Saccharomyces cerevisiae S288C: one gene and its partners. The gene in region 1 interacts genetically with each later gene. Each region holds a gene or a part of one and is shown in the gene's direction. Other genes may lie near its edges. The genes, in order: IPL1, MCM22, SDS22 and YPI1.

Evidence for each region.
Region 2: mutations in IPL1 (region 1) and MCM22 impair growth when combined (synthetic growth defect), as found in Saccharomyces cerevisiae (2 studies listed by BioGRID, with this or other methods).
Region 3: of IPL1 (region 1) and SDS22, a mutation in one rescues a mutant of the other (synthetic rescue), as found in Saccharomyces cerevisiae (7 studies listed by BioGRID, with this or other methods).
Region 4: of IPL1 (region 1) and YPI1, a mutation in one rescues a mutant of the other (synthetic rescue), as found in Saccharomyces cerevisiae (4 studies listed by BioGRID, with this or other methods).

What each region holds. Positions count from the first base shown.
Region 1 is NC_001148.4:155,990-159,779, reverse strand, and holds IPL1 (aurora kinase), read left to right. Parts: upstream 1-2,186; coding exon 2,187-3,290; downstream 3,291-3,790. Other genes in the region: RKM1 (protein-lysine N-methyltransferase), read right to left, coding at 187-1,938; signal recognition particle subunit SRP72, read left to right, coding at 3,568-3,790. UniProt on the Saccharomyces cerevisiae protein: Component of the chromosomal passenger complex (CPC), a complex that acts as a key regulator of chromosome segregation and cytokinesis.
Region 2 is NC_001142.9:672,634-680,975, reverse strand, and holds MCM22 (Mcm22p), read left to right. Parts: upstream 1-4,197; coding exon 4,198-4,917; downstream 4,918-8,342. Other genes in the region: MET5 (sulfite reductase (NADPH) subunit beta), read left to right, coding at 1-2,019; TTI2 (Tti2p), read left to right, coding at 2,270-3,535; protein transporter TIM8, read right to left, coding at 3,742-4,005; SGM1 (Sgm1p), read left to right, coding at 5,124-7,247; XPT1 (xanthine phosphoribosyltransferase), read right to left, coding at 7,356-7,985; NMD5 (Nmd5p), read right to left, coding at 8,308-8,342. UniProt on the Saccharomyces cerevisiae protein: Component of the kinetochore, a multiprotein complex that assembles on centromeric DNA and attaches chromosomes to spindle microtubules, mediating chromosome segregation and sister chromatid segregation during meiosis and mitosis.
Region 3 is NC_001143.9:73,042-81,690, reverse strand, and holds SDS22 (type 1 protein phosphatase-activating protein SDS22), read left to right. Parts: upstream 1-1,808; coding exon 1,809-2,825; downstream 2,826-8,649. Other genes in the region: DPH2 (2-(3-amino-3-carboxypropyl)histidine synthase), read right to left, coding at 1-656; ACP1 (acyl carrier protein), read left to right, coding at 1,154-1,531; threonine--tRNA ligase MST1, read left to right, coding at 3,045-4,433; MIA40 (Mia40p), read right to left, coding at 4,659-5,870; palmitoyltransferase YKT6, read left to right, coding at 6,157-6,759; PEX1 (AAA family ATPase peroxin 1), read left to right, coding at 7,826-8,649. UniProt on the Saccharomyces cerevisiae protein: Regulator of the mitotic function of yeast type 1 protein phosphatase.
Region 4 is NC_001138.5:152,157-160,217, reverse strand, and holds YPI1 (type 1 protein phosphatase-activating protein YPI1), read left to right. Parts: upstream 1-7,093; coding exon 7,094-7,561; downstream 7,562-8,061. Other genes in the region: YFH7 (Yfh7p), read right to left, coding at 1-919; YFR006W (putative Xaa-Pro dipeptidase), read right to left, coding at 2,466-4,073; mRNA splicing protein SAD1, read left to right, coding at 4,345-5,691; proteasome regulatory particle lid subunit RPN11, read right to left, coding at 5,905-6,825; linker nucleoporin NIC96, read right to left, coding at 7,683-8,061.

The sequences.
Region 1 (3,790 bases):
GCTCATTTCCATGTTTTATACACAAATATCGGGCATCGCAGCTCCATGGCGAAAAATTTCATCGAAGCCATATTCGGATACCCGGGACACTTCTGACCAATGAGAACCCAGTTTGTTAGTAAGTGCATTTATTAAATAAGTGCAGATGTAATTACGTACTCTACTCTAACATTCTATAAGGAAAAGCTACTTACGTACTAAAATAGTCTCTTCGGTTGTAGATGAAGTTCTGGTAAAGGAATTGTCTACTACAAACTGAATCGCATGATCTACTTCGGCCAAATCCACATCGTCTTGCTTCTCGAAGTATGCAGTATGGAAAGCCTTGGCATCATCTGAAATATATGCAGTTTGCTTGAAATTAGTATACTGCTGTCCAACCCATTCATATTTGGTGGGGTAAGAATTCTTTTTCGTTTTCAGTAGAATCCAAAGTATCAATAAATCATAAGTAGATTCAAAGATGACCTCTTCACCATCTTCGTTGCTGAACAGCGAAGGTAATTCAGTTTCTGCAAAAGCAGGGTCATTCTTAAGAATTTTGCTCATGGTTAGCAATTGGTGCTTGTTCTCTGACAGCATTGTTTTTTCTAGTTTTTTCAACCTCGTTAAAGCCTCTTTTAAAATTTGTTTTTGACCTTTAGTATAAACGTCAGCACAATAGACTCTGTAAGGATCAATTGCATAAGAGTCATCAGTTGCAGGTGGTCCAGTAATGCTGTTGAGTTTGCTCTGCAATGCATTTCGTAGCATTTGTATACCCTGCAAACGGGCTCTCAAATCGTGTAGATCCTCCTCTTCGGCCTTAGAAAGGTAGGTAAAAAGATCCAGTAATGGTTCTAAACATTGTTCATTTTGTATGTTAATGAAGTAAGTCACCCCATTGATGTAGTCTGTAGCACTACGAGTAGCCTTCTTTTCTTGCTGGACACAGTCTTTGTTTTCAAAAGCATAAGTGGTGTAATCCGAAAGTAAGGGCAGCTTCAAACTAGGTTCTGTTTCAAGAATTGTAGATACCACATCTAATGGCAATTTAACTTTCAAAGCCACTGAGTCAAATATGTTGTCTTCTAAAACAAATCCATATCCAGAGAGTAACTCCTCATTTCCCTTACCGCCATAATTATTTGATAGTTCTCGTGATTGGGAGGCGGTACCGATTTTTTCATAACAGAACCACCCATTTTCAGGATACCATTTGACTTTGGAACGGTAGTCATGATTTAGAAGATCGACGATGGGAAGCAGTACAATAGAGTTGTCAGGACAGTTTCTGTTTAGCACATATTCAGGGAATGCTCTTGAAATGAATATAAGGTGCGACCATAAAAATGCAGGAAAAGAATACCAGATAGTTGGTCTTTGAAGTTCTGTTATCTTCAAAATCTTCTCATACAAAGCCTCATATGTCAACTCATCGAGATTATGGAAGGTCTGCACATCATCTGCCACTCTTTCCAAGTCAAACATATCTGAAGAACTGACCAGTTCAAACCACTCTTTAAATATACCTTCGAACTTTTCATGAATCGAATTCCCTATGTTTGTAGATGATAAACGCTTCAACTCGCTTGGGTTCCAGACCAAGGGCGAATTTAGGCGGGAAGGCAATGCATCCAAGTAAGGTTTAAATTTATCATTCACACGAACATTGTCCACGATAGTATCATTATCCCTATCAAATTTTATTTTTGCGAAGAACAACTTCAGCCATCCGTTGATATTCTTAGTGGATTCACTTAGCCCAAAAAACTTCATGGGCAGATTCCTTGAAATGACAATCTCGGGAGGAATCTTGATGCTGGGATTGTCTATATCTTTTTCACATACGCAAATAATGCCCTTAAGATCGGTATATAAAAACTTGAGTTCCTCTGGCACTATTACACCAAATGACGCACCCCACTGAAGTAGTGCTTTTAACGCATCTGATGACATGATAGTCTTCTCTTGTATCTATAACCTTTGTGCTCCATTTTCCGATACAGCATTGCTTATTGAACAGTAAGTTTAACTTCACGCGTTTTTCCTGTAAAGCGCTTAATTTGTTTACCATTCTATAAAAACCTTGAGCTAAGGCCAACTGATGCAATTGCTCAAGTGAATGCATAAACAAAGCAAGATCATTCTTAGCGCAAAAAAAACTGGGATTTTGAAATACAACAAAAGAAAGAAGTAAAAAGGGAATGCAACGCAATAGTTTAGTAAATATCAAACTAAACGCTAATTCGCCATCGAAAAAGACCACAACAAGACCAAATACGTCCAGGATCAATAAACCATGGAGAATATCCCATTCGCCGCAGCAAAGAAACCCGAATTCAAAAATACCTTCACCTGTAAGAGAAAAATTGAACAGATTACCTGTAAACAATAAGAAGTTTTTGGATATGGAAAGCTCCAAAATTCCATCACCTATAAGGAAAGCGACTTCTTCCAAAATGATACACGAAAATAAGAAGCTACCTAAATTTAAATCCCTATCACTCGATGACTTTGAACTGGGGAAGAAATTAGGAAAGGGTAAATTCGGTAAAGTTTATTGCGTTCGGCACAGGAGTACAGGATATATTTGCGCACTGAAAGTAATGGAGAAGGAAGAAATAATAAAGTATAATTTACAGAAACAATTCAGAAGGGAGGTAGAAATACAAACATCGCTAAATCATCCGAATCTAACTAAATCATACGGCTATTTTCATGATGAAAAAAGAGTGTACCTGCTAATGGAATACTTAGTCAATGGGGAAATGTATAAACTATTGAGGTTACACGGACCCTTCAACGATATTTTAGCATCAGATTATATTTATCAAATTGCCAATGCCCTAGATTATATGCATAAAAAGAATATTATTCATAGAGATATTAAACCTGAAAATATACTAATAGGGTTCAATAATGTCATTAAGTTAACGGACTTCGGATGGAGTATAATAAATCCGCCAGAAAATAGAAGGAAAACTGTCTGTGGGACAATTGACTACCTTTCTCCAGAAATGGTGGAGTCAAGGGAATATGATCACACTATAGATGCATGGGCTCTTGGCGTCCTGGCGTTTGAACTACTGACCGGTGCCCCTCCGTTCGAAGAAGAAATGAAAGATACTACATATAAAAGGATAGCAGCACTGGATATCAAAATGCCCAGTAACATTTCTCAGGATGCGCAAGATTTAATACTTAAACTACTAAAATACGACCCCAAAGATAGAATGCGCCTTGGAGACGTAAAAATGCATCCTTGGATACTAAGAAACAAGCCCTTTTGGGAAAATAAGCGGTTATAGAATTAAAGTATGACAGAATCGTTTGAAGGGCACTATTAATCACTCCCGCACATATCACATAATACTAAGTATCCATTTCTAATATTTCATTACTCTTTTCGGCATCGTATATTGCGATATTTGATTAAATTTTCTTGTTCATTTTTTCCTCTTTTCTTTCGCCTTTGTCGAAAGAAAAGAGGAAAACAAGCTGAAAATTGCTATGCATTAAAGTAGCAGATTTACTTTGTTGAGTTGGTTCTGATCAATAATAAGAGTAATGAAAGAAAGCAAAAAAATGGCTAAAGATAATTTAACTAATTTGCTCTCTCAATTGAACATTCAATTGTCTCAAGACGAGCATTCGCAGGTCGAACAGACTTGCGTGAAACTATTGGATTCTGGATGTGAGAATCCAGCGGATGTATTTAGACGTTGCTTAGTAGCTGTTATCCAACAGGACAAGTATCAAAAGGCTTTACATTATTTAAAAAAATTCAAACATATAGATGACAAGTACG
Region 2 (8,342 bases), on another chromosome or scaffold:
CTCGGTGATTCTGAGTATTGGCCACGTAAAGAAGATAAACATTATTTTAACAAGCCTTCACAGGATTTATTTAAGCGCTTGGAATTATTGAGTGCCAAAGCCCTAATTCCCTTGGGACTGGGTGATGATCAAGATGCTGATGGTTTCCAAACTGCTTATTCTGAGTGGGAACCTAAATTATGGGAAGCTCTTGGTGTTTCCGGCGCTGCTGTTGATGATGAGCCAAAACCTGTTACAAACGAGGATATTAAGAGAGAATCTAATTTCTTGAGAGGTACTATCAGTGAGAACTTAAAGGATACTTCTTCAGGTGGTGTTACTCACGCTAATGAACAATTAATGAAATTTCACGGTATTTACACCCAAGACGATCGTGACATTAGAGAAATACGTAAGTCACAAGGCTTAGAGCCATACTATATGTTTATGGCAAGAGCTCGTTTACCAGGTGGTAAGACCACTCCACAACAATGGCTTGCTCTGGATCACTTATCTGATACTTCAGGCAATGGTACCCTGAAATTAACAACAAGGGCAACCTTCCAGATTCATGGTGTGCTAAAGAAGAACTTGAAACACACATTGAGAGGAATGAATGCAGTTCTTATGGATACATTAGCTGCTGCAGGTGACGTGAACAGAAATGTCATGGTTTCTGCTCTACCAACCAATGCCAAGGTTCACCAACAAATCGCTGATATGGGAAAATTGATTTCTGATCATTTCTTACCAAAGACTACGGCCTACCACGAAGTTTGGCTGGAGGGCCCAGAAGAACAGGACGATGATCCATCCTGGCCATCTATTTTTGAAAACAGAAAAGATGGTCCAAGAAAAAAGAAGACTCTAGTTAGCGGTAACGCTTTGGTCGATATTGAACCAATTTACGGTCCAACTTATCTGCCAAGAAAGTTTAAATTCAACATCGCCGTTCCTCCATATAACGATGTGGATGTATTATCTATCGATGTCGGTTTAGTTGCTATAGTTAACCCAGAAACTCAAATCGTGGAGGGTTATAATGTTTTTGTTGGTGGTGGTATGGGTACCACTCATAACAACAAGAAAACTTACCCAAGATTAGGGTCATGCTTAGGTTTTGTTAAAACTGAAGACATTATTCCACCACTTGAAGGTATCGTTATTGTCCAAAGAGATCACGGTGACCGTAAAGACCGTAAGCATGCTCGTTTAAAGTATACTGTAGATGATATGGGTGTCGAAGGCTTCAAGCAAAAAGTGGAGGAATACTGGGGTAAGAAATTCGAGCCTGAGAGACCATTTGAGTTTAAATCTAATATTGATTACTTTGGATGGATTAAAGATGAAACTGGGTTAAACCACTTTACCGCATTTATTGAAAATGGTAGGGTTGAAGATACACCAGATTTGCCTCAAAAGACAGGTATTAGAAAGGTTGCTGAATACATGCTTAAGACTAATTCTGGTCATTTCAGATTGACTGGTAATCAACATTTGGTTATCTCTAATATTACAGATGAACATGTTGCTGGAATAAAATCTATTTTAAAGACCTATAAATTGGATAACACCGATTTCAGCGGTTTGAGATTATCTTCATCTTCCTGTGTTGGTTTGCCAACATGTGGTTTAGCGTTTGCCGAATCTGAACGTTTCCTACCTGACATTATTACTCAGTTGGAAGATTGTTTAGAAGAGTATGGTTTACGCCATGATTCCATTATTATGAGAATGACTGGTTGCCCTAACGGTTGTTCTCGTCCATGGCTAGGTGAATTAGCTCTTGTTGGTAAAGCTCCACATACTTATAACTTGATGCTTGGTGGTGGTTACCTCGGCCAAAGGCTAAACAAATTGTATAAGGCCAATGTGAAGGATGAGGAAATTGTCGACTACATCAAACCATTGTTTAAAAGGTATGCTTTAGAAAGAGAAGAAGGGGAACACTTTGGTGATTTCTGTATAAGAGTAGGTATCATTAAACCAACCACCGAGGGTAAATACTTCCATGAAGATGTGTCTGAAGATGCCTATTAATGATAGCATATGACATAGTAGGACATACTATTGGGTTTTCTTCCCACATTTATTTATTTTTTTCGCAATTGAATATAACTTTTTATTTTATAGAAACATATTTATTTGTATAATCTTGTATATTAACAGTTAAGACTCATTATTGTTATCCTTCGGCTAGTTCGGTTTTTCAATAGCAGATGAGAAACGAAAACTATGAAGAATGAAAACGAGGTGAAGAATAAAATCATATAACAAAATATTGAAAAGAATGACGGCCGTAACTGATATCATCGATGAATTGAATGATTCGAGTCTTTCTTCTACAAGGCTTCGAGAGTTGTGTCTCCAGTTACGAAAGAAGACAGATACTGGATGTGCAATTACGGTGTCCGATGAGGTCAACCTTATTGAATCTCTCTCATATCACTCCATATCTCCAGGAGTAGACATACAAATCAACACAGATGTTTTGCAGACTATAGATTACTACTTTCAGCGTAACAAAAGTGAACATGACGAAATTATGTGCGTCCTTATTTCTAAGTTACAGCCACTACTTTTAAAACGCAAAAGCAACTTCGAACTCAAAGAGCAACGTAATCTTGGTCTCAAACCCACGCTTGGAATGTCTTTGAAAGAAGATAACCTAATGCAGGCGTGGGTAAGTCAGGGTGGCTTGAAAGGCATTCCGTTATTCTACGTAATTCTGTTACATTTGAAAAGGAGAGACATATCTACGAATCTTTCTTGGATTATTCCAGGAATTCTAAACATACTAGATGATACCACTGATATAAGAAGAATTAAACTTCGTGGTGTTCTGCTCCTACAGACGCTATTAAATCATACCTTTATGAACGAAACCAATGACTCAAAATGGATACAGTTCTCTAGTACTGGTTTATTTCCACTGTTCGAAAAGACGCTAATCAATATGTGCTATTTTCTCCCTCCCTCATACAATGCTGATGAAACAATAGCCATATGGCGGGTCGTTTTCCCAACGATACAGTCGTTATATAAAGTAGAATTTTTGGACAATTACACAAAGTATCAATATCACCTGGAAAAGTTCATGTCAGAGATAATCTTGCAAAACATAATTCCTAGGGCTAGCCTTGCATACGAAAATTTGACGTTATACGCATTGGAATGCACAATGAACATACTGAGACTTCAAAGAGAAGGGTCTGTTGTACATCTCCAGAGGCTGATTTTTGTTTTAGGTGAATATATTGTACGAAATCCTTTTTACACAACTTTTCCAAAACTTATTTCAAAAACTCTTTCAGTGGTAAGTACTCTCATAAAGGTTTGCCCGAATGAAAGAATAGTGGCTCACAGATTCGACATTTTATCATTAATTCTAGTTACATACGATAAGTGTTCGCAAGAGGATGCGTTGAACGAATCAATACTACAACAATGTAAGGAAACGATAAGCTGGTTGCTGAATTGTGACTGCGCTATGGGTGAACAGTTATCGACTCTATCTAAGCAACCGCGGTTTCAGTTACTTTTTGAGTTCTCATAGGAAACAGACACAGACACAGACAAATGCATATACATATATATATATATATAACTAGACAGTATATAAACAAAAAGAGTTATTTGCCCTTTATGCTGAAGAATCCCTTTTAAAGAAACCTTGGACATATATTAAAATATTCATTTGCTTATTTACAGATATATTAAGGTAAAGAGAATAATGACTCGGAGAGATAAATCGGTTTCATATTAACGGGTGTTTTGCAACCCGTTCACAATCCTGATATTAGTATCCAAAAACCGATTCACACAGTTAGACAAACATTGCTCTTCTTGCGAACTTAAATTAGAATCATTGACAGACTCAACACATTTTTTGAAGCATATATTAGTGAATTGATGGATTGACATCTGGACTTTTTGTTTGGAGTTCTCTCCCTCCAAGAAAGTAGCAATTTCCTTTTTGGAAGTGTCATCAAGGGAGGCCAAATCAGACGTTGATAGAGAAGACATTCTTTGTTGTTTGTAAATTTGTTTTCCTTTTTACCTCTTCTTCAATACTTTCATATAAATGAATGTTTCCATCAATTTTTACGTTAGTTAATAACTAACCGTTCGCTTTGATATGCAGCGTAACAACAAACAAGACGCATATGACGACAAAGAGGGACAAGAGCAAACGGCAGAAAGTCTCACAAAGGAAACATGGATGTTGAAAAGGATGTCCTGGATGTCTACATAAAGAACCTGGAGAACCAGATCGGAAACAAACGATATTTCTTGAAGCAAGCTCAAGGTGCCATCGATGAGATCACGAAGAGATCTCTGGATACAGAGGGTAAACCGGTCAATTCTGAGGTCTTTACAGAGTTATTAAGAAAACCCATGTTCTTCTCAGAGAGAGCTGATCCTATTGGTTTCAGTTTGACATCGAATTTTTTGTCTTTGAGAGCCCAAAGTTCCAGTGAATGGCTCTCGCTTATGAATGATCAATCAGTTGATCAAAAGGCCATGTTATTGTTACAGAATAATATTAATAGTGACTTGAAAGAGCTGCTACGAAAACTGCAGCATCAAATGACCATTATGGACAGTAAGAAGCAAGATCACGCCCATATTAGAACACGAAAAGCCAGAAATAAAGAGCTTTGGGACTCACTGGCGGACTTTCTCAAGGGTTATCTAGTACCGAATTTGGATGATAATGATGAATCAATAGATAGCTTAACGAACGAAGTCATGCTGTTAATGAAAAGACTAATTGAGCATGATTTGAATCTGACATTAAACGATTTTTCATCTAAAACGATACCAATATACAGATTATTACTTAGGGCTAATATAATAACAGTAATTGAGGGCTCTACAAATCCAGGGACTAAATACATCAAACTAATAGATTTCAATGAGACCAGTCTAACTTAAGTAATACTTCGTAGTCAAAGTGTGCTTCGTAGTGGTGTGAGGATGTTATAAAGCGCCAAAATTTAGAAGATCATAATTTGGCAGTAACCGTAGATTATTCACCAAAAAGCTCTTGACTTCCTCTTTTAATAGACTGTCGTTAAAAGGTCCTTAGTCCAGAATAGTATATAAAAAGTGTTGTATGGTAGTGGTATACCAATTTTGCTATGAGTAAAAAATTATCGTTGGAAGAGAGACTCTCCTTGGCAACTAAGAAAGGAAGAAAGAAAAATAAAAGGTCAACGTCAAATTTGTCGTCTCCATCGCCTGTGGTGCTGTCAAACAATGAACAAGAAAGTGCTCGTACATCCATTGATGATGCGGCTGCCGGTGTGGTGTCAATTGACAATGCTGAAAACATAGATGATCCTGCGGTACGATCAGAAAGCACTGTGGAAGGCGATACAGGTAAGGCAGATTCAATCGCTGTCGATGACGTGGTGCATCCCGATCACAATAGGACTGATTGCTTCGACGACACTATGGTATCACTGCCTACATGGCTACCTAAAAATTACACTGAATTTACTGTTGAAGAATTAGTCAAAGAAATTAGTCCTGAATATTTAAGATTAAACAAACAGATTGATGACCTAACTAACGAACTAAACAGAAAATCACAAATCGAAACCACGGATTCTAGTTTTTTCAAATTGATTAAAGAGAAGGACGACTTGATAGATCAGTTGAGAAAAGAAGGAGCTAAATTAGCGGAAACTGAGCTGAGGCAATCAAATCAAATCAAAGCTTTAAGAACAAAAGTGAAAGACTTAGAGTATGAGGTATCTGAACTAAACGATAGTTCTGCTCAGAGTGTCGAAAACTATAATGAGCTGCAATCATTGTATCACAACATACAAGGACAACTGGCTGAAGCTACAAATAAATTAAAGGATGCAGATAAACAAAAAGAGTCACTTGAAACATTAGAGAAAAATATAAAAGAAAAAGATGATTTGATAACAATTTTACAGCAATCTTTAGATAATATGAGAACATTGCTTGAAAAAGAAAAAAGTGAATTTCAAACGGAAAAGAAAGCACTACAAGAAGCAACAGTTGATCAAGTTACCACTCTAGAGACTAAACTAGAACAACTAAGAATAGAATTAGATAGCTCTACTCAAAATTTAGACGCTAAATCAAATAGAGATTTTGTCGATGACCAACAAAGTTATGAAGAAAAACAACACGCATCTTTCCAATACAATCGGCTCAAAGAACAGCTTGAGTCATCAAAGGCCAACTGGGATAGTATTGAATACGCTTTGAACACTAAAATTGTGAACTTGGAAAACCGCTTTGAATCTACAATGAAAGAAAAAAATGATATTGAAGAAAAATATCAAACTGCCTTACGTTCATCTGAAACATTAGGTAAGCAATTAGAAAAAGAAAAAGAGAATCATTCGAAGGCAGTTTTGGAAGTGAAAGACTTGGAGAGACGGGCGGAGACATTGAAGTCATCATTGCAAAGTATAAGTGATGATTATAATCTACTGAAGAAGAAGTACGAAATTCAAAGGTCTCAGTTGGAACAAAAAGAGAACGAACTAAAACCACATCAAGAAAACAGCAATGAGAAAATTATAGATAAAATACCTGTAGAATTAACAGATAGTTTAAACTCCATGGAGGGAAATATAGAAGACGAATGGACTTTACCTCAAGAAAATTCTATGCTGTCATTATCAATGTCAAAACTTGGCGAATTAGAAAGCGATCCGTCTCTAAAACCCATTTACAATGAATCTCACGAAACCATATGTAGCGAAGAAAGCCAACATTTTGATAGAAAAAATGTGGATTTCAGCATTGACGATATTCCAGAAGAGGCCGCTGCTTTACAAGCAATCAGGGAAGGGGAATCAATGAACTCGTTAAACAACACATCAATACCATACAGAAGAGCTAGCGTCCAGCTATCGAATTCTAACGGCCACATAAGCGCTCATCTGGTGAACAAGTTAAGTACGGAGTTAAAAAGATTGGAAGGTGAATTATCAGCATCAAAGGAATTATACGATAATTTACTGAAAGAAAAGACAAAAGCAAATGATGAGATTTTAAGACTTCTGGAAGAAAACGATAAATTCAATGAGGTAAATAAACAGAAAGATGATCTCTTAAAAAGAGTTGAGCAGATGCAAAGTAAATTGGAAACCTCCTTACAACTATTAGGTGAAAAGACTGAACAAGTGGAGGAATTAGAAAATGATGTGTCCGATTTAAAAGAGATGATGCATCAACAAGTTCAACAAATGGTAGAAATGCAAGGAAAAATGAGATAACTAGAAATACACTCTTATCTTTAGATTTAGGTTAAATATGAAATAATTACCAATGATAACTATATGTATCTATATACATGCAACCCCATCGCAACATACTGTTTGTCATCAGTCATGACCTTGAGCCTTAGCGAGCATGGTATGTTCTTCGATATCTTCAGCGTCCCATGGATAGCACAACCACTTATCAGGGACAGTTTGCGCAGCAATGTAACGTCCAGAATTCATCATGGAGTCAGGTAGTCCAGCTCTCTTTGGTTTGTCCTTATTATGTAGAACAAAGATAGAAATAACGGTTTCCTCACTCATTCTATTCAAAACCTTTTGTTGTTCAGCAATCTCTTTTTCCAGCTCAGAAACAGCATAGTGGAGGGTAGTTCTAGTATCGTCAACTTCATCCACAATTAGGACCTTTTTACCAATTAAGGAATCGAAATGTTGGTTCAAAGCACCGAAGTCCAGCCATTGTGTTCTGATGACCTCTTTGCCGATAGTTTCGACGCTATTATCCAACCCTAAATCTTCATACAAAGATAGGCCGATGGCCTGAATCGGAATATTCTTTTGTCCTTTAGTTTTCAAAAAGGACCTAATAATTCTTGCGGGGATCATACCACCACCAGTGATGGCGATAATAATATCAGGTCTTTCGTTTCTAGCTAAGATATGTTTAGCCACTCCCTGACAAAGCTTGTGAATATTATTATAGGAGATGTACATTCTCTCATTTTCGGCCATCTTGGTACAAGTATATTTTGAAGTGATCAATGTTTATGAAATCTAGTACAAGGATGGGCTATGCAAAAGAAAGACTGACAAAACTCAGATATTTTTCTTTCCGATTTAACTACGATTCTTTCCCCAGCTTAGAGATAAAAAAAGCTTGTGATTTTTTTAGGTTCATCGCATTGACTCCAGATAAAAAAAAAAGATCTTGATATCAAATCAAAGTCAACTGGCCGAGGCAAAGGCAACAAACTTTGAGCATAATATCCTCTCTCTTCTATCTAAATTATGTAATCCAGTGTTTGTTTCAATATACAATCGCCATTTAATTCAATTAGGCATTCATAATTCCCATGAATAGTTCTTGAT
Region 3 (8,649 bases), on another chromosome or scaffold:
TCGGGAACGTGAAAGGTGTCAAGTATGGTTACGAATTTTTCTTCTACCGCAGAGGTGTTCACTTGGGAATATATGATATTTGTGTAGTGCAGGTCGCCCTTCAAAATATTGTACAGCTGTGACAAATGCTTAGAGAAGGGTGCGTTTGCCATCAAACAAATTTTGGAGGATAAGTCTGGGAATGCCCTCTGAAAGTTCTCCACCACCAGTGCCAAATCCAAAAATGGAGTTCCGAATGAGTAAACCACGGGCAAGTTTTGGATGGCGTTCAAACATGCGTCACCAAAATGTACCACGACTTCTGCATGTACGTGTTCAGCAGCGACCTCGTCTACACAGCATGCACTGTACGCTGTGTCAGCTAAAACCCAAAACTTTATCTTCCCATGGGGAAATTTCGATTGCAGCAGCCTTACTATCAACGAGGAGTCCTTGATTAAATCGTCAGGAAACTGCAAGGTCACGTTTTGGTACTCCGGGTGCTGTTCCAGATAACCCACGAGAGGCTCGACATTGTAATAAGCCGAGATAAGTTGCATAAGCTCATCGCTATTATAACATGGCCCCAAGTATGAAGACCTGTCAATTTCATGTGTCTCCACCTTCTGAAACGCCACGTCCGACTGAGTAGTCGATAAGGCCGGTGCAACTTCCATTTTTCAACCTTTGCACGATCTTTCAACGCTGCCACTTAGAAATCCATCACTAATCATCTTAACTCTTTTACCTTTGAACTAGTCTTTTTTCTTCTTGTTGCGATGAGCTTCTCACTGAAAAAAAAAAAAGTAAAGAAAAAAGAAGCACCAAGTACATATAAAAGGACAGATTTAACCAAATGGCATACTTAAAAAGACATTCTGAAGTCTACCATAGCATTAAAACTATCAGACTGATCCTGTAGATGTCTTATATGTATTATTCTTTTCACACATACACTCCGAAGAGACTCCATGGAGTTTTATCAGAGTCACGTGACATATATCACTGTTGACGGAATACAGATTATTTGTCAATTGCTTCTTTCTTCGCCCCTTCGAACGGGTTCTGAGTAAAAGAGAAAGGTGGTGATGACGAAGCAAAAGGAAGAATAGTCACACTTGCAGTGTAATTAGTACAAACAACACAACTAACTCAATACAGCACCTTCCTTGCCATGTTTAGATCCGTTTGCCGCATTTCTTCCCGCGTGGCACCTTCTGCGTACCGCACTATAATGGGCCGTTCCGTTATGTCCAACACCATACTCGCACAAAGATTTTATTCTGCAAACTTGAGCAAAGATCAGGTTTCTCAAAGGGTCATTGATGTTATCAAGGCGTTTGATAAGAACTCTCCCAACATTGCCAACAAGCAAATCTCCAGCGATACCCAATTTCACAAGGATTTGGGGTTGGACTCCTTGGACACTGTCGAGCTGCTCGTAGCTATTGAAGAAGAATTTGATATTGAAATCCCTGACAAAGTGGCTGATGAGTTGAGAAGTGTTGGTGAAACGGTCGATTATATCGCTTCCAATCCCGACGCAAACTAAGTGTCCGTCCCCGCTCTATTATATTGTATCGTGTCACCCCCATGTCATATTATATTCGTATGTATATAAATAGATCGATTGACCCGTATATATATATATCTATATAACCAGCCCTGTTAATACTATACTTTACTCTCTCCTCCCTTTTTCTCGTTGTTTGTTATTTTGGCCCCGAATTATTATATATTAAGGTACTGTTGAAAAATAAAACATGTATAACCTTTTGAATGAAAATAGCAAGAAGTCGGAAGAAATCTAGCACCACATAGCCATCATTATGGATAAGAATTCAGTTAACAAAGATAGTGAAGAAAAAGACGAAAGACACAAGATTGAGGTTGTAGACGATACAAATCCTGACTTCATCACTGCAGATTCGGAACTGACACAAGATCTGCCTGATGATGTAGAGGTTATTGACTTGGTCCATCTAAAAATCAAATCGTTAGAAGATTTGAACCTTTATAGGTTCAAGAATTTGAAACAATTATGTCTCAGACAGAACCTGATCGAAAGCATAAGCGAAGTGGAAGTTTTACCCCATGACAAGATTGTTGACCTTGATTTTTACGATAACAAAATTAAACATATCTCCTCTAATGTTAATAAGCTCACCAAATTAACGTCTCTAGACCTGTCGTTTAACAAGATCAAGCACATCAAAAATCTAGAAAATTTGACTGATCTGGAGAATTTATACTTCGTGCAGAACAGCATTTCCAAAATTGAAAATCTGTCCACTTTGAAATCACTGAAAAACTTAGAATTAGGTGGTAATAAGGTTCATTCTATTGAACCCGATTCCTTCGAAGGTCTGTCAAACTTGGAAGAAATTTGGTTGGGTAAAAATTCCATACCAAGACTTATTAACTTACATCCTTTAAAGAATTTGAAGATATTGTCCATCCAATCTAATAAATTAAAAAAAATTGAAAATCTAGAAGAGTTGACCAATCTTGAAGAGCTCTATCTGTCACATAATTTCATCACCAAGATTGAAGGTCTAGAGAAAAACCTAAAACTAACTACTTTGGACGTGACCTCCAACAAAATTACCTCCCTGGAAAACTTGAACCACCTGTCAAATTTAACTGACATATGGGCCTCCTTTAACAAGATAGATCAATCCTTTGAGAGCTTGGGTGAAAACCTGTCCGCCCTATCACGCTTGGAGACCATTTATCTGGAGGGAAACCCTATTCAACTGGAAAATAAGACTTCGTATAGAAGAAAACTGACTATGAACTTACCTCCATCCCTACAGAAGATTGATGCGACATATATAAGAGGCTGATCTTGATCAAGAAATGATTTTTTTTTTATATACACACACAAACATATATATATATATATATATATAATGTAGGATTTTGATCCTTTTAAAAAAAACTGAATAATCCATCTAGTTAAAGTTCGCCCTTAAAAACCTCGAGCATGAAAAAAAGAAGAGCTGCTGAACTACATAAAGAAAAACATATGCAATAGCTAAGGGCACGTCCTTCTGTCTCGCAATATGAAAATACAACTTGTAAGATGGCATTGTTCTCGCAATGCTCTTTGGAATCGTGCTTTCTACTCTACGAGAAAGGCCACTAAGAACGCTTCGTCGGCGACTCCAGCTACTATGACATCCATGGTATCTCAGAGGCAAGATCTTTTCATGACAGATCCACTATCTCCTGGATCCATGTTCTTTCTTCCAAATGGTGCTAAGATTTTCAACAAATTGATAGAGTTTATGAAGTTACAACAAAAGTTCAAATTTGGTTTTAATGAAGTTGTGACGCCTTTGATTTACAAAAAGACTCTTTGGGAAAAGTCTGGTCACTGGGAAAATTATGCTGATGACATGTTTAAGGTGGAAACTACGGATGAAGAAAAGGAGGAATACGGTTTAAAACCGATGAATTGCCCAGGCCATTGTCTGATCTTCGGTAAAAAGGATAGATCGTATAACGAACTTCCCCTACGCTTCTCTGATTTTTCACCACTACATAGAAATGAAGCTTCTGGTGCACTGTCGGGATTGACTAGACTAAGGAAGTTCCATCAAGACGATGGTCATATCTTTTGCACTCCTTCCCAAGTGAAATCAGAAATTTTCAACTCTTTAAAATTAATCGACATAGTTTACAACAAAATTTTCCCCTTTGTTAAAGGAGGTTCTGGAGCAGAGAGCAATTATTTTATAAACTTTTCTACAAGACCGGATCACTTCATTGGAGACCTCAAAGTTTGGAATCATGCTGAGCAAGTACTCAAGGAAATCTTGGAAGAATCAGGCAAACCGTGGAAACTGAACCCTGGTGATGGTGCGTTCTATGGTCCAAAGTTGGATATAATGGTTACGGACCATTTACGCAAAACTCATCAAGTCGCTACTATTCAGTTGGACTTTCAGCTACCTGAGAGGTTCGATTTGAAATTCAAGGATCAAGACAACTCGTACAAGAGGCCAATTATGATTCATAGAGCTACTTTTGGTTCTATCGAAAGATTTATGGCTTTACTGATAGATTCTAATGAGGGCCGTTGGCCGTTTTGGTTGAATCCTTACCAAGCTGTAATTATTCCCGTCAATACGAAAAATGTGCAACAGCTAGACATGTGCACTGCCTTGCAGAAAAAACTACGTAATGAACTGGAAGCCGACGACATGGAACCAGTTCCTTTAAATGATTGGCATTTCAATGTTGATCTCGACATAAGAAACGAACCCGTAGGGTATAGGATCAAGTCGGCCATTTTGAAAAACTATTCCTATTTAATTATCGTGGGTGATGAGGAAGTACAGTTACAGAAATACAACATTCGAGAACGTGATAATAGAAAGAGTTTCGAGAAACTTACAATGTCTCAAATTTGGGAAAAATTTATTGAGCTGGAAAAAAACTACAAGTAACTTAAAATATATGACAAACTTGCCCTGTAAATAAAAGGATACGATTTGATGTATAGCTGGATTCATACAGAGACTAGACTCATCCGCCCCACAGATGCATTAATTCATGTATATTTCACATATTATACCATATGTAGTCATTAAACTAAGATAATATTACTGTATTTACATGTATCATCCTTTATACTTTTATACTTTTTACGTTCGGGAGATTTTCAGGAGATTTTAAGGTTTGGATTCCTCATTCAATGGTTCTTTTTTCACATCTGATTGCTCTGCTTTTTTCGCAGCATTTTCCTTTGCGCTTGAAACATTTGGCGCTGATTCTATTGTGTTGACCTTTACTTTGTCTTGAGGTTCCTCATCATCAGATGTTTCCTTTAGTTGTTCTGCATAATGCTCGGGGTATTTTCTGAAACAGTCTTGCATATGTTGAAACTTTTCAACACAGTCGATACCTTTTGGTTCAGCTTCAGAATAGACGAAGCAAGAAAATGCAGATTTGAACTCTTCACCACAGGGTCCATGGGCCATACCTCCCAAGCAAGGACAGTCCCAATTTATCTCACCAGTGTCTGGGTTATAAGCACCTTCGTGTTGAACCTCTTCTTCAGTAGGACCCATTTGCTTTTCCTCTTGTTTTCTTAGTTCTTCTTTCTCTTCATCGCTAGATTCAGATTGCTTAGCTGAATTTTCCGAGTCACTTACAGTTTTTTTTGAGGATTCTTCTTCTCCATTATTATCTTCAGTAGTTGTCTTGTCATCAGATTGTCCCTGTTGCGATTTTTCATCATCTGAATGTTCTGGATCTTTTTTTTCAGAAGATCCAGCATTGTTGTCTAGTGTTTTGTCACTAGTATTTTCTTCCGAGTTCTCAGAACTTATGTTTTCATCCTTTTGATTGTTAGCGGTGGCATTGTCTTCATTGGATTGCTCATCATCTTTGGTTGATACCTTTGATTCATCAGTATCTTTATCTTCGGAAGACTTGTTGTCTTCTTCTGCTAGAACAACCAATTCACCATCTTCAGCTACTTTTGAAGCACCAATTTTATCACCCCCTAATTGAGGGCCAGCTTCAGTTTCATCGTTTTTGCTGTCGTTGTCATCTCCATTTTCATCGCTTTTGCTGTTGTTGTCATCTTCATTTTCTGGTGATTGCTCACCACCACTGGAAAGCTCTTCCTCTGCGGTTTTATCGGATTCTACCTTCCTTGAGGCGAAAAGAGGCTTCCTATTAGGAGCAATAAAATATAAAGCACCAGCCATAGAAAGAATCCCCATTATAAAGCCCGCTGTTTTTTCCTGATTGGAGTTCCTACCGAACTGAGGGGAGGACGCCATGAGACGTCTTGTTTGGTGTCGGCATAACCCCCTTGCCACTTGAATTGACGGCCTGTTTCTGCACGCATTCCTGACGACTAAGTTGCGAAGCATTTTACTGATAATATACACTCTTTGGATCGAGCCTACTTCCAGTTGGTAATTGGTGTTCCACAATTTCAGCATTATATGTTTTTAAACCAAAATTCGGCTCCTTTTCCCTTTTTTTCTTATTGGGTGGCGTGCCGTACAGAACGATTGGCTTGGTGTGAAATCAAGAGCAAGCACAATAGATATCAACATGAACAATATACAAAAGTCTCTGGCACAGTTTGACTGCGTTAGACCAGGCTAGGGCATTTCTGAAGCTTTACGTATCACTAGAGAAGTTATTTTGGCAATGAGAATCTACTACATCGGTGTATTTCGCTCTGGAGGAGAAAAGGCTCTAGAGTTGAGTGAAGTTAAAGACTTGTCACAATTTGGTTTCTTTGAAAGGTCTAGTGTTGGCCAGTTTATGACTTTTTTTGCTGAAACGGTCGCTTCTAGAACTGGTGCAGGACAAAGACAAAGTATAGAAGAAGGCAACTATATTGGCCACGTTTATGCCAGGAGTGAGGGCATATGTGGTGTTTTGATCACCGACAAAGAATATCCTGTCAGACCAGCATACACACTATTAAACAAAATATTGGATGAATATTTAGTCGCACATCCTAAGGAAGAGTGGGCAGATGTGACTGAGACCAATGATGCATTGAAAATGAAGCAACTGGACACTTACATTAGCAAATATCAAGATCCTTCACAGGCTGACGCTATCATGAAAGTTCAACAAGAACTGGATGAGACGAAAATCGTTTTGCACAAAACGATTGAGAATGTTTTACAAAGAGGTGAAAAGTTGGATAATTTGGTGGACAAATCGGAGTCATTAACGGCAAGTTCCAAAATGTTTTATAAGCAAGCTAAAAAATCCAATTCGTGTTGCATCATCATGTAGATGCATCCACACACTATTTTCAGCATAGTGTGGCTTTTCATCTGCTTTATGTAATTTAGAAAGCCAATGACAGCAGCAAGGGAAACAAAAATCTTTTAAATCAAATTAATTGTTTAAATAATATACTATGTAAGCATCGATTCTCCTAACTATTATAACCAAAGGTTGATTTGAAGCCATTGGCATTGTATTAGAATTGATTTGTTTCTTCAGTGTAAAAAAGTTAAAAATAAGCGACCCCAGTGAGGGTTGAACTCACGATCTTGCGATTAACAGTCGCACGCCTTAACCAACTTGGCCATGGAGTCTAATTGCTATATTTTTCTTTTGAAAACAAGATATATAAATAATGCTTGAGCTGGAGCATTTACGTTGTAAATGTATAATTAGTGTAAGAAACCGCTGGGCCCTATTTGTTGATGAAGTATTTACTTAAATGTAACAGAATATACTGGAAGTCCCCCCTCGGGCACATGGAAATTCACTAAAAGGAATTGGTAATGCATATGATATTACTACCGTTTCTCATTTCACTTTATATGCTTTCAGTGATTGTGTTACTACGTGACAGTTCTTACAATTCAGCGCCGTTACTCTCTATGAGTGCTCTCATTATTTATATCATATTCTTACACTTCATACAATTATATATACTCGTACCATGGATATTAGAGGATAGTTGGTTTTTGTTTAAACTAATTCTATGTAACCTCGATGGCATGAGTCCATAATACTGTACTGGCGTATGCCCTTGTTTGTGGTCTTTGTGCAACCATTTCAGGCTTTCTTATTTGCACAGGGCAGTTGCGACCCTGATAAAAAAAAATGGCTGATCAATCGGCGTGGACAAAAAAAAACATCGATTTCTATATTCATGGTAATCTGTCGAATTCTCCAACCAAGTTAGCTGGACTTTATTGTCTTATATCCGATTACTATCGCGATTTATTCTTGTGCGTAGCCGCAATTATAAAGGTCCGGAATATCTCTCCGACTATTGTCATCGTCGAATTTCTTCTGGAAGGGACGGCAGTAACAAGAAACACCTGAGGAACTGCTCTTTCAAATGACGACGACCAAGAGGTTGAAGTTTGAGAATCTGAGAATCCAATTCTCCAATGCCATAGTAGGAAACTTTTTAAGGTTACCGCATTCAATTATAAACGTGTTAGAGTCAACCAACTACGCTATCCAGGAATTCGGTATAGCAGTCCATTCTCATAATTCAGATATACCTATTGTTCATCTTGGATGGGATGGCCATGATTCTGGATCGAGTGAGAATGTTGTTCTTATCAATCCTGTTTTGGCCACAGTATATGATTTAAATCAAAAGTCTCCATTGGTGGACTTATACATCCAGCGATATGACCACACACACCTGGCTACGGAGGTGTATGTCACGCCAGAAACGAGTGATGATTGGGAAATTATCGATGCCAATGCGATGAGGTTCCAAAATGGTGAGATTTTGCACCAAACCCGTATAGTTACCCCAGGTGAGACTTTGATTTGTTATTTGGAAGGAATTGTTACAAAGTTCAAAATTGACAGGGTGGAGCCATCAATGAAGTCTGCGAGGATCACAGATGGTTCCTTGGTTGTTGTGGCACCAAAAGTCAATAAAACACGTTTGGTGAAGGCTGAGTATGGTCATAGTAATAAGACAATACTAAAAAATGGGGCTATCCAACTTTTAAAGAAGGTAATATTGAGGAGTACTGTGTGCAAAATGGACTTCCCTAAAGATAACCTTTTTGTCGTATATATCAGTGACGGGGCACAATTGCCTTCTCAGAAGGGCTACGCTTCTATCGTAAAATGTAGCTTAAGGCAGTCCAAGAAAAGCGATTCAGATAATAAATCAGTTGGTATCCCTTCGAAGAAGAT
Region 4 (8,061 bases), on another chromosome or scaffold:
CCACCCTTTCTTCGGTGGCCTCATAGTCTATGTCAATCTTATAAACAAGAAGTGCTCCCGTATCAGCTAATGTTTTGTAAATTTTCTTCCAGTTTTCTTGGTCATACAGTAGGTATAACCCTTCAAGTATAACTATCCTTGTAAATTTGGAAATACAGTACTGATCTGGAGTTGGGTCTTTTAGTGCATGGTTAAATCCTGGAACAAAGATATCAGGAATTGTTTGGCTAAAAGTTTTGGATAACTTCTCAAAAACGCTTGAAGTGGAGTAAAATTTATGATGTGAGGAGACCTTACATAGGGACGTCTTGGCTAGAATTTTACACAATTGTAAGAAATTGTTACTGTCAAACGTTGAGGGCGAACCTCTTCTTTTATGGGCAGTTTGTGGGTCTTTGAATAGGTCTAGACATCTGCGAGATAAGTGAAAACCATCCATTGGGACTATTTGCGCTATATTGATACTATCCTGGGCCAACTTGTTAACATTGACTGGATTATCAACTGCTGCGATTCTTATGGCATTCGCAGTACCACCTCTGGCAACTACTGCGGTACATTCTTCATTATTTGATGTAAGGGCTGAGTACTTGACTGGTTGAAAATTAACATCCTCAACATGATCTTTAAACAGCCCCTGATTTTCAATCATTTCAGCTACTTTATTGGGCTGGAGCGTCTTTAAAGAGTCTACTAGGTTAACCATAGGTTTCAACCTATCATTAACCTCAATAACATTTGGATGCTCTGACAAAAATGTGTGATATTTTTCATTTATAATTTGACAAAGTTCTTCCGCAATAGTAGACTTACCGGAGCCTGGAGAACCGACTAGGATAACACAAACCCTATAATTATCTTCGATACGGTTATCCAATAGCTGAAGAACGTCGTCTGCTAGTTTATGCGTATCGACCATTGTGGCTAGAATGATCCTCTGGTATGATACAGGATAAAATATGTATAGTACTAGTGAAATTAACCTAACAAGGTTACTTCATTTTTCCCGAAGAGCAATACTTGATGATGCTTAAAGGTACGCATTTAATGAACGAAAAATAACACAGTTCGTTTGAGTAAAAAGAAAGCTCACAAAATTTAATACAGAAAAAAAATTATATGTAAACTGTGGACAAGTCTGATAAGCCCAGATAACCCTTCTATTTCACGAAGGTGCAAGTGCGATTGAAAAGAATTGTTTCATGGCATTAGCTATCAGGACACGAATGCATAATCGTCAAGATATTATCGGTATGCAGCAGTTGAAGTTGTTATTAATGTTATAAGGCACCATCATATGTGGCTTTGGGATGATCTTCCGCCGATTGGTGTTCATATTACAAAAATTTTATCACGCTCGAGGTTAGAAGATGGCATCAATTATGAGGCATGAATAACAAGGTTTAAGCACTAGTAATCATAGCGGATGCTGAAACGCCAAGGTTAATGAGTTCATAAGATTAACGAATAACGAGAACTTAGGTATGAGTCAAAATTTTACTTTCATAATAGATTTATCGAAAATGTGATCAATTTTCTGAATAATTTGATAACTGTTGGGATTGCATTGTTGATCAAGACCATAATATTATGTACACAGAATATGCTAGAAGTCTCCTCGAGGATGTAGGAATCCTCAAAATGGAATCGGTAGTTCTACATAATAATATTACGATTATTCCCCATTCCGTTTTATATGTTTCATTATGCTATTACATTATCAATCTTGCATTTCAGCTTCCATTAGGGTTGATAACTGTTTCTCAACTTTTATGTCATCTTCCTGAACCGCATATGATAATATGCCAATAACATGAATATTACCAAATGGATGGCATTTCAAATTATTACTTTAACAAAAAGGAACCAAATAACTCATATAATAATTACCTATTTCTCAAATAGGTGGACGACGGTTTATCCAATTCCAACAATAATAGTAATTACTAATATTATGTAGATTTTTCGATCCAAGTCCTCGAGGGCGACTCATAGGAATGCTATCTTCAATCAACAATGACATCCGAATAATTATCTCAAGTTTTACAACATTCTCAAATATTATGGTAAAAAGAAAACTTTGCAATCTGCAAAATTCTCGAATTCTGAATCGCTAGATTTCCTTATGAGAAAAGTCACATTTAAAGGTGTTAGCAGCTAGTTATTATAGTCCTATAGTTCCTGTAACAATGAATTTTTCATAAATAGAAGCGGATTTAGCTCAGTTGGGAGAGCGCCAGACTGAAGAAAAAACTTCGGTCAAGTTATCTGGAGGTCCTGTGTTCGATCCACAGAATTCGCATTCATTTTTTGCTCTTCGGGGTTGGTCCTTAATTTTTTCAGTGCCATTCCTTATATTTCCAAATCTAGTTAAATGGTGAATCCAAGATTATAAAAAAAATATACAATTCTGTGTACAAAAGAATATACTAAACTTCTAGAAGCGAGTAAAAAAAAGTTAATACCTAAACGATTACGTGGAAACCTGAACGGGGTTTCTTCAAACCTTTTTGAACGATTTTTTCAATTTCATCAGGGTCAGAAGTAATACCAGTTAAGTTCTCGTAACCATCTTTGGTAACAAGGATATCATCTTCAATTCTAACACCACCGACATACATGTATCTTTTCAATACGCTCATATCGACAACTTCCAATCTTTCGGGGTGCTTTTCCAAAAATTCTTTGATCAAAAATTGATTAAAGTAGCAACCTGGTTCATTAGTGATAACCATATTTTCTTTCAAAGGACGGCGGATTCTTAAATATCTAAACATTGGATCTGGGTCGTCATAGTTTGGATTACCACCAACGTCGTGTACATCAAGCCCCAACATATGCCCTAGTCCATGGGGATAAAAAGCGCAAGAAGCTCTTCTTTTAAAGATTTCGTCCTCAGAAAACTCTTTCTTGAAAATACCCATACTTAAGAAATGTTTAATAAGAACCTTGTGTGTCAGTGCATGTAAATCGTCCCATTTAGCACCAGGTTTAATCCTTTCCATTGCTTGGTTTTGCATGTCAAGAACGGTTTCGTAAACTTCACGATGTTCCGCAGTAAACTTGCCTGAAGTTGGGAAACATCTGGTGATATCACTTGTATATTGTCTCCATTCTGCACCTGCATCAATTAAGATGGAATGTTTACCTTTGATATCTTCTGAATTCTTGACGTAATGTAAAGTGCCACATGCCGGTCCAGAACAACAAATGGGGTCATAGCCCAAAGAACGACCACCTTGACGGGTTGCATGGTATTCAAATTCAGCTTGTATTTGTAACTCGTTCAGTTCGATGGGCAACGCGGACATAACGGCCAAATGGCTCTTGTCTGAAATCTGACAAGCTTTTCTGATGCTTTCAATTTCATACCAATCCTTAATTGCTCTAGTTTCATCCATAGCATAAAAGAAGTTAGGGTCTGAAGGAATTAGTGATCTTGCAATATTCTCGTCATGAACATTGTCCAAATCGGTTGTAAAGATAGCGAAGTCTTGCAATTCTTTAAATTTTTTCCCCAGATCAGATATGTACAAGGCCTCATCAATGTCAAACACTCTCATTGCCTCATCCAAACTCAAAGGCATACCGCTCCATATGACATCTTCTTCATCGATGTTTGGCAAAAACAATGTCAGCTTATCTGTGCTACAGTTAAACAATATCGCCGAAGCAGGTATATCAACACCTGACAAATGATAAAAATATCTATTCTGTCTAAAATCTTTGTTGGTGTCACAATACTTGTTTCCCTCTAATTCTTCACCAGCAATAAAAAATGCTGTGGATATCTTTGATAGCTTCGGATTGCGATTTAACAACAAATCTTTAACCCTCAAGTTATGTTCTTTCGCAGGATACTTATGATTTCTTATCTTGACCGGAATTTCATTTACGTTTGCTACCTCGCCCATTTCTTCCCCTTTTTCTTTACTGTAATAATACTTATCTTTGTACTCTGGCTGTAAAATTCCTCTTGTTCTTTGCCGTTCTCCACGTTTGAAATACTTCACCAAGCCAAAGAAAAACACCAGGGATCCGAAAACAACAAGAGAGATTGGTTCAAGGCACATCACTCCAACAACAGATCAGGTATATACCTATATTTCCCAGGTTTTCCTACAGCTCGACCTGGAAAAAAGATGACACAGTTTCTGAAGAATCGCCGTAGCGGAAAGTGTCAATTGAACCTCCCTCGCGTATAGTAAGCAATGCCAAAAAAAAAAAAAAAACTGGAAAATCTTGATAAAAAAATGACGAAATAGGAAAAAAAATTGGCAGCAATCTAACCATGCTCTTCATGGTTCATCATTTAGTGGGCGTTAACCTAAAGCGCTGTTTATAATGGAGGTTGATAACAAAAGGAGACATTCAGAAGATGAGTTAAAACAGGAGGCAGTAAAAAAGATAAAGTCTCAGGAACCAAACTATGCCTATCTTGAGACTGTAGTAAGAGAAAAACTAGATTTCGATTCTGAGAAAATTTGCTGCATTACTCTGTCCCCTTTGAATGTATATTGTTGCCTCGTGTGTGGACATTATTATCAGGGGAGACATGAAAAGAGTCCTGCTTTCATACATTCAATTGATGAAAACCATCACGTCTTCTTGAATTTGACAAGTTTGAAGTTTTACATGTTGCCGCAAAATGTCCAAATTTTACATGACGGTGAGGTTCAATTGTTGAACAGCATAAAATTTGCAGCTTATCCGACTTATTGTCCAAAAGATCTAGAAGATTTTCCGAGACAGTGTTTTGATTTGAGCAATCGCACATATCTGAATGGATTTATAGGGTTCACCAATGCGGCAACTTATGACTATGCGCATAGTGTATTGCTTTTGATATCGCACATGGTTCCAGTGCGGGACCACTTCCTACTGAATCATTTTGATAATCAAGGGGAATTTATCAAAAGGTTATCCATATGTGTAAAGAAAATTTGGTCCCCTAAACTATTCAAACATCATCTTTCAGTTGACGATTTTGTATCCTATTTGAAAGTTAGAGAAGGTTTAAATTTAAATCCTATAGACCCGCGTCTCTTCCTTTTGTGGCTATTCAATAAAATTTGCTCGTCCTCGAACGACTTAAAGTCAATTTTAAACCATTCTTGTAAAGGCAAAGTAAAGATAGCAAAAGTTGAAAATAAGCCTGAGGCCAGTGAGTCTGTTACAGGAAAAGTCATTGTCAAACCATTTTGGGTTCTGACTCTCGATTTGCCGGAGTTTTCACCCTTTGAAGATGGCAACAGCGTTGATGATCTCCCACAAATAAATATCACTAAATTATTGACTAAATTTACTAAGTCAAGAAGCTCCTCTACTAGCACCGTTTTTGAACTAACGCGATTACCGCAGTTTTTAATATTTCATTTCAATAGGTTTGACCGTAACAGTGATCATCCTGTCAAAAATAGAAACCAAACGTTGGTGGAATTTTCCAGTGAACTTGAAATTTTGCACGTCAAGTATCGCTTAAAAGCAAATGTGGTCCATGTGGTCATTAAACAACCATCCACAGATGGAAACGCATTTAATGGTGATGAAAAAAGCCATTGGATTACTCAGCTGTATGATAACAAAAGTGAAAAATGGATAGAAATAGATGGCATAAATACGACAGAGAGAGAAGCCGAGCTTTTATTTTTGAAGGAAACGTTTATACAAGTATGGGAAAAGCAAGAGTGAAAGAAAAGAAAGTAAAAAAAAAAATTGGCACTGGGACTACCAGTAGCCATTTCATTTTTACTGTTATTTAAGGAGCCTTTTCCCTCCTAACGCGTTTTCTCTTTCCCATTCATTCCATTAACTACTTCATTAGAATTTTTAGAAAAATACAATATAATATATATGTAGTGGGCTTTCTAGTTATTTAATGCATAATGACTTTATAAAATTTGTTTATTTAATTGCCACTGAATTAACACCCGCCGTCAGCACAGAAACAATATTGTTCTCTAGTGTCTCATCTGCTGTTTCGGAAAGGTGCTTCTTTGGATCTTGCCTACCAACGTATCTTGTCTTAAGTTCTTCTTCGGTTAATTCCTTTTCCTCTTCTATTCTCTTAGAGTACTGTTCGGCTATCTTAACCATACTCTTTGTAGCAGCCAAATTTGATTCTTCTTTTTCTTCATAATCGTACATCTTAAGACCTGATTGCCACTGTTCTTTATGTAAGTTCATTAACATCTTGGTTTCCTTCGCGGTTTTATGATAATCAATATTTAAAGAATAGTAATGCCTATTCAGACCGTGAATTAAGGCTTGAATGTTGGCCTTGTTCAATAAGCCTGTGTTGGAGGTTGTTTGTCTAGGCTCTAAGTTATTTATCAATGCGCCCGTGTCAATCAATCTAAAAGCATCGATGACAACTTTTCCCTTAACGGATTGAATAGGGTCAACAACGACAGCAACAGCTCTGCTGTTTAGTTGTTCAAAAGATTTTTGAGTATTAACATCAACAGAAGATAGCCAACAGCCAAACCCTGGATGAGAGTGGTACCAGCCAACGACCATTTGGTCTCTGCCCGTTTGTTTTAACATGTCCATCATCTTCGCTTGGAAAACATCATCGACAGCCTCAACAGAAACTCCGGTACCCGATTGAGGCATCGCAAACACGTCCACAACGTTAACCGTATAATCATCGACAAACTCACCTAACATCAACCCCATGACTTCCATGGGAACACCAGCTCTACCATGCTTTAGCATCTTTAAAAGCGCAATCGAAGAAATATAAACAGTTTCTTTCGTATCGTCACGGCCGGTGTCCGCGGACCCCACCTTACTATTCATCATCAATCTCTGTAGTCGTTCCATTATGTCTCGTCTTTCTTGTTAAGTCCTCTTAATTGTGTTATCACCTGCTATTTTTCTTTCTCAATATTAATACTGGTCATAAACCGTTTCTTAGCTTAAAGGCTTTTCTTGTGAATTTGCCACCTTGGAGGTCCGAAATCATCAGCGACGTGCGTTTCAGTATAAACAAGGGGCCGTATTTATCATTTAGAAACAATTCGAGTCAAGGGTCCCAAGAGCTTATAACTGCCAGGAGTTGCGAGCTAAGTCTTCAATTAAGTCTATAAGGATGAGTGGAAATCAAATGGCTATGGGATCAGAACAACAACAGACCGTAGGGTCCCGAACGGTGAGTGTGGAAGAGGTTCCCGCAGTTTTGCAGCTTCGAGCAACTCAAGATCCTCCAAGAAGCCAGGAGGCAATGCCTACAAGGCACAATGTAAGATGGGAAGAAAATGTGATTGACAATGAAAACATGAATAAAAAAAAGACCAAGATATGCTGCATTTTTCATCCACAAAATGAGGATGAAGAAGAGTGCAACCATCATTCAGATGATGATGGATCCTCTTCTTCCGGATCCTCTTCTTCAGAATCTGAGAATGAGAAGGATCTTGACTTTAACGAACGTAGACAAAGAAGATTGGAAAGGCGCCATCGTAAACTTGAGAAAAAAAGGTCATATAGCCCCAATGCTTATGAAATCCAACCAGATTATTCTGAATACAGGCGAAAACAGCAGGAAAAGAAGGACTGAGGCTTTGTACAACGAAAGCCAAAATATTCGATGAAGCAGCAAATGGCTTTTTATACTTTTACTAAGTATGCGCGCATACTGATATATAGATATAAACAAAAATATACAATATTTAAAAAAATCATAGAGAGACGTCTATATTAATTAAAGTGCTGTACGTTTCCCTTGGCATTCTGTATTGAATCATACCAGCATAAATCATACATTGTCTCGCAACATTTTTTAAGGAATCAATTTGTTGACCTTTTGTGGACGATTGATACTTACTTTCGTTCAAGATATGAATCATGTTCGATATACAGCTTAGAGTGATAATCAACAAATTTGGAATATTTTTCACAATGTTGTCATCTAAATTAGAGAAATCTTGTGCTTTCTTTCTAGCAGATAGCTCGTCTGAGAAAGGAAGTAAATCCAATAACTCCATTTGGGATAGTGTTTCTTGCCATTGTTTATTGAAATATAGCTCCCTGATAGAGGAGATATTTAAGAGCAGCATA